Linked DNA regions of Xenopus tropicalis. The protein of the gene in region 2 interacts with the protein of the main gene of each other region in a pairwise test. Links are inferred from orthologs where the notes say so. Each region holds a gene or a part of one and is shown on either strand. Other genes may lie near its edges.

Region 1 (2,766 bases), on a different chromosome or scaffold from region 2:
CAATTTGGTACCTGATCTGTGCCCCAGACCAAACACAGTAGAGGACTAGTTATGGATCCCCTCCCCCACCAAAATAGTGTCTAGGTATATAAATCACTCAAGCGCTCCCAAGATTGAGAAGTACCATAAAGATATCCCAAATCTAATGGCAGAAGACTAAAAAGAAGTCAGTAATGGCCCATATGCCTATCTAGTGTCAGGTAGGGACAAACTCATTCAGTGTGAATTCCTACAGGGGGGAGGGTGGCTTAACATTGAATTCAAATTTTTACCATAATTCGATATATTTCTCTATATGCTGTTCAGAATATGATTGTTAGTAAATGTTTCTTGTTTTGTCTGTTCTAAAACAAATAAACAAATACTTTAAAAAAAACTCACAATATTTGAATTATGGTTTAAAAACTAAAATGTCTGACATTTATTAGTGCAAAAACCCTAAATATCAAATGTAAAACTTCGGCATCTAAAAGCTTGCGAGTTTCTATAGAAGTCCATGGCTGAGTTGTCCTAGGCAAAGTCAAGCCATATTTTCAATTTGAGATTTTCGAGTTTTTTCGAGTTTGTAAATTCACAAATTGATGGTATTCAAGTTTTTTTTATTTAAGCAAGTTTTTCATATTAATAAATAAGCAAACATTCAATCTCGAAAATTGGTAATTAAGCCCAAGAGTGTACATTATGCCAAAAAACTACATTTCATCAGCCACAAAGAAAATAATTCATGTTACATGCAGCCAATCTCCTGCCCACGTGGTGAGACTATCCCAGGATTAATAAAGACTGGTAAATGGTCCTAAAATACCTGACAGAAAAACTAGGCATGCTACCAACATTAAGAAAATTCTACTAGAGGTCCTAGAGTAACTTGGGAATGGGACAGTTAAAAAATGGAAGTGGTTGGTAAATACAATGCTACCTCTATACTAGTGATCCCCAACCAGTAGCTCGGGGGCAACATGTTGCTCACCAACCCCTTGGATGTTGCTCTCAGTGCCCCCAAACCAGGCAGTTTTTTTTTAATTCCTGACCTGCCAAGTTTTGGTTGAATAAAAACAAGATTTACTACCAAATAAAGCCTCCTGTAAGCTGATAGTGTGCATAGAGGCTACCTAATAGGCAATCTTAGCCCTTATTTGGCACCTCCATTAACTTTTAGGCTAATGCCAGATGTGGCGTTTGGCGTATATTTTCAGCAAGCCAAAAATCGCTTGCCAAAAATAGTGCCAAACGCCTCCTACCTGTGCCTGCACCCGAATGAATGAGATACGCTCGGGTACAGGCACATGTAGCCGATCTCCGCCAAAAAAACGCAAGACTTCATATCTTTGGCGGATATCAGCTATATGTGCCTGCACCCGAGCGTATGTCATTCATTCGGGTAGGAGGCTTATGGCGATATTTTCGGCAAGAGATTTTCTGCTTGCCGAAAATATACACCAAATGCCACATCTGACATTAGCCTTATGATGCTTGTGTTGCTATCCAAGTCTTTTTACATTTGACTGTGGCTCACAAGTAGGAAAGGTTGGGTACCCCTGCTCTATACAAACTGACTTACGAGATTAGGTGGGGGGGTGGGTAAGGTAAATATCAGAAAGTCTGGGAACCATGTACAAAAGGGAAATAGACCCAGTTTTAGGCTGAGAAAACATTGAAAGGTAATTGGGAATGTTCATAGACAGAGGTGCCTGCCATCCCATTTATTTGTAAACCCTTGAATTTTATGTACTAATTTGTGTTAGGATATGTTTTTTAGTGTCAAAACCAATAAAAAGTATTTTGTTAAAAAAAAATGTTCTTTTTATTTAGATTCTGTTGAATCAGCTTGCCGTGAAATCACATTTTTTTTCCCTGAGTTCAACACTAGCGATTGGTATGAGAAGCAAGAACCTCGCTACAGAACAGGGCCAGTGTTCTATGATGAAGAACGGTCAGAACACCGACTTGAAGGGGAGTGAAGGGACCTAAAAGGCAAACTGTGTGTTTATGTCTGCAGCTTCATGTCACATAAAAGACTATGGGTTTTAACATGAAGAAGGCTGTGTATCTACACCAGACAAAATTAGGAAGTGGTTACTGCTGTACACATTTTTGCTGCAGCAAGGGACAATGGGCACTATATTATTGTTATGGAAGATTTTAAGTTTGACGTCATTCTCTCAGCTCAGTGTGGCGCTGACTACTCTGTTTTAGCTCAATACAAAACATTTTAATAAAATAAATATACTAACGTTTTCTTTTGGCAACGTTAATGTGAAGCTGACAAGCTGAGCACAGAAGGGTCGCATGTGGCCTCCAAGATCCTTGTTGGGCATCGCTGCCTTATCTATTTTAAAGGTAACTACTGAAAATTTTGGCTAACCTTGTACTGTTCAGTATAACACATTACAGGGCTCATTTTGGATCCAAAATGTGTGCAGGGCACAAAGTGTTACCCACGATGCAGTCTGTTTCCCATGATTCCAGCATAATAGTGCTCACAAGGTTGCCACCCAATGCAATTGCAGCCAGTATGTTAAAACATGCAAAATTGTATTTGCACTTTTACACAGTTGCACTGAAAATCTTCTCAATTCATCACTTCCGGCACTTAGCATCAAAATGAAGTCTGCACCTGATTTTTTAGATGCAAGTGTGCTCGGTTTATTAATGCAAGCTGCTGTAGGAACCCTGGAGTTACCACATCTTTCAAAGGTGACTGTAGTTCAAGGGTTCCTCTGTGTCAATTTAAAGGAGGCGAAGGATCGATAAAGTGGCACCACG
Region 2 (3,659 bases):
TCTTACGGGCAGTGTGCACGAGAGGTTATTGAAGGAGAAATATATAGGTAAGTTTGTATTTTTAGTCCTTTCTGCAAATTTGCTAAAATGAGGAAATATAGTAATTTTACAGGGGTCATTGGTTATATCATTCATATAAAAATGTAATCATATTTAGATTCTGTTATACAGTGATGATTCCTCTGCAGTGATCTTCATGACTTACCCTACGGGCAAGGCCATATGTTGGACTTTCATATAGTGCTTAGGTTCTCATGCATCTGATGTCCAGATGTCTAATACTAGCCACCAAATATGTACACTCGACTGCAATTTGATTATTGCATTTAGTTTTCGATGCAGTGTGGGTCTCGCTTCATCTGCCCACTGGTGGGATGGCATTTAGTTGTCGATGCAGTGTGGGTCTCGCTTCATCTGCCTGTCGGTGGAATGGCATATCGGGGAGATTAGTCGCCTGCATCAAGGGAGATTTGTCGTGGGCGACTAATCACCCCGTCTGTCACGGACCTTAGAGCCTGAACCTGGCATTACTTTTGCTAGTTCCTAACTGGAACTAGCTATACCAGAGTGCCAAGATGAGGGATTTTGTTGCCCATGTGGTTCACAATGTGAAGATGTAATAAGGCTGATATCCTCTCAGAGTAGTGGAGATCAAAATATGTCATGAGTAATTGCCCTACCACAGGCAAGTGTAAGTTCAAATTAAATGGAATTGTAAAGAATTGTTGTCTCATGGCATTTACGTTTTTAAATGTAAGGCTTTTTTTTAATTTTATTTCCAGTTAAAAGAATCAGATATATATTTAATATATATATTTCTTTATATTTGAATCCTTTTTTTACTCCATTAAGCCTCCTTAATGCTTTTTCTGTAATTATTAAGTCTTCTAGCAGTAGTGTAGTGTGTTTTGAGACACAGACTAAGTCACATAAGTACTAAAAAATTGAACTCTTCCATTCCAGCAGAAAACAACAACTTTTTTTTTACCAGTAAATTAAAATGTTTTGTTTCTAAAACAATGCTACTTTTATCCAAATACTTCTTATTATTATTGTTCTTGTTTTTTTTAGGTCTGTACATACTGAAATGGCTGTAATGGGGTTAGTTTAGCTTATTGTTACCATTCTTTGTACTGCTCTAATGTTCTGCTCTTTTTTTCTTTGCTAGTGAAAGCCAGCTGATTCACAGGGTCCGAGAGCTGGATAGCAGAGTGGTTCAGGTACCAGTATCATCAAAAACTAGGACATTAAAAACACAAGTGGTTGTGTTATCTGTCTAGTGCTAGTCTTATAATTAATAAATGTTTCTATATGCAAGATGCAGGGACAGATTTAAGAACAAATGTGATTTTTTTCCCATCTATCAAACTGTCCTAAATGTCAGGAACATTTCTAAAACTGATAAAGGTGTTAATTTAATCAGAATAGGTTCTGCATTTATCATTGGGTATTAATACTCAACAGAGCAACAACTTCTATCCGAATCCTTCATCCCTAATGCAAATTGCACATTGTGTAAAATAATTACTAATCTGCCTTGTATCACATGTGACATTTATATTCTTTATATACAGTATATTGTGAGTTGTTCCCTAAGCTCAGTAACTGACAGCTGTGGAGCTGCTGGGGGCATCTTCACTGCTTAAATGCTGCAGTTGCAGAATCCCCAAACATAGGGCCAATTCATATTCAGTTCAGTGAGAAAAAGTTATTTCATGGTTTTTCATGTGAAAACTCATAGACAAATTCAGTTCAAGGAGAAAAACTTTTCTTCTAATTCAACTCCACTTTCTTCCCATAGACTTCAATAGAGTTTTCATGTGATAAACAGAGAGATACGTTTTTCTGAATTGAATTGCATCTCAAATTGAATCTCATCCATTTTTTTTTTGGTGTAGTTGCCAAATGACCTTTGCCTGATTTGAACACCAAAGTGGTAAACAAGGTTGGATTTTTATTATCCTTTGGGCCCCTGGACAGTGACCAGATTACATGGGGAAGCTATTCAGACAGGATCCCCAGCCCGATGAGGTTCTTATCCAATGACATTTTTTAACTGGTTTGATCAGTGTCTGAGTGAAGACCAATCATGACCAAAAGTTTTTGTCAAGTAGATAAGCCAAAATATGTTCATACAGGATGGTTATCTTAAAAAATGTATGTCATTGCTTTCTATATCTTAACTCATGTGGTTTGGGTTTTTGTCTCATTCAGGTTGCATGTGGTCAAGACCACAGTTTGTTCAGGACAGAGAAAGGAGAAGTGTACTCTTGTGGATGGGGAGCGGATGGGCAAACAGGTCAGTCTGACACCCCTATCAAGATTCAGCTATTTAATTTAAATAAAATTACACAGAAATGTCTTTTTAGAGTTCTTACAATGTGTCTCGTCATTTACATATAATTACTAGAAGTAATCATTGGTAATAAACTTGCCTGAATTAAAAAAAAAAAAGAAGTAATCACTGGTATCCATAAGGCACCATTTTATGGGATGTGCCAAACTGTGAACACAAACATTTACTAATCCACGAATCCGAATGAGAAAAATTCGGATTGGAAAACGAACATTTTGCAACTTTTTCGTACTTTTTTGTAACCGTTACGACTTGCGCAAATTGTTGCGACTTTTTTCGTAACCGTTACGACTTGCGCAAATTGTCGCGACTTTTTCATAGCCACTGCAAATTTCGTGAATTGTCGCGACTTTTTCATAGCCATTATGACTTTCGTGAATTGTCGCGACTTTTTCATAGCCATTATGACTTTCGTGAATTGTCGCGACTTTTTCATAGCCATTATGACTTTCGTGAATTGTCGCGACTTTTTCATAGCCATTATGACTTTCGTGAATTGTTGCGACTTTTTCATAGCCATTACGACTTTCGCGAATTGTCGCGACTTTTTCGTATTGAGCGCTCAAAAAATTTGCGACAATTCGCGAAAAAGTTGCAAAATACCGATCATTACGGAAAAAACACATTTGGACGCTTTTCGGACGTTCGTGGATTAGTAAATGTGCCCCAAAGTATCTAGTATAAATACATTTAAAGCAACTGGACTTGTTTGGTAAACATTGAAGACGTTTCACTACTCATCCGAGCAGCTTCTTCAGTTCAACTGACTGGTATGGGAAGTCCTCAGCACTAATCTCCCACTAATCCAATCACAATGGCACTTTGTAACTCTTCAGAAAGGTGACATCTGAAACTCACAGAGGTGTGAATGCTGTGGAGTTACTTTGATAGGATTACCAATGATTCTTCAATGATTACCAAACAAGTCCAGTTGCTTTAAATTTATTTATACTAGATATACCATGACCTGGATGAATAAAAATCTTCATAGACATGTGAACACAGAGGTTTCTCAAAGAACATATAATATGGGTATGACTGACCTTTTCTTAACATGTTATATTGTTTGTAAAGGAACATTACAAGAATTATCTTCATAATAGTCAGTGGTTATAAGGTGCTGATGGCCTGGGATATTTTTCATTTCCATCCCTAGTTTCTTGGGATTTGTGTGTCCTTGTGTGAGTTAAGCAGACTCTCACCATTTTGTTGTAAAAAGTAAGCTGAAATACACTGATTTGGAATTATAGCTAGCCAGCTGCCTGACTGTTTCTTGCAGGACTTGGTCATTTTAATGTGTGTA

What was found.
Region 1: the proteins of rcc1l (region 2) and nme6 interact in binary tests that used the Homo sapiens proteins (3 or more experiments, as listed by UniProt). The link is inferred for Xenopus tropicalis from reciprocal best matches to the Homo sapiens genes RCC1L and NME6.

What each region holds. Positions count from the first base shown.
Region 1 is NC_030679.2:89,495,786-89,498,551, reverse strand, and holds the end of nme6 (nucleoside diphosphate kinase 6), read left to right. Parts: intron 1-1,812; coding exon 1,813-1,961; 3' UTR 1,962-2,233; downstream 2,234-2,766. UniProt on the Homo sapiens protein: Major role in the synthesis of nucleoside triphosphates other than ATP. The ATP gamma phosphate is transferred to the NDP beta phosphate via a ping-pong mechanism, using a phosphorylated active-site intermediate. Inhibitor of p53-induced apoptosis.
Region 2 is NC_030678.2:101,938,572-101,942,230, reverse strand, and holds part of rcc1l (RCC1-like G exchanging factor-like protein), read left to right. Parts: coding exon 1-47; intron 48-1,168; coding exon 1,169-1,220; intron 1,221-2,214; coding exon 2,215-2,299; intron 2,300-3,635; coding exon 3,636-3,659. UniProt on the Homo sapiens protein: Guanine nucleotide exchange factor (GEF) for mitochondrial dynamin-related GTPase OPA1. Activates OPA1, by exchanging bound GDP for free GTP, and drives OPA1 and MFN1-dependent mitochondrial fusion. Plays an essential role in mitochondrial ribosome biogenesis.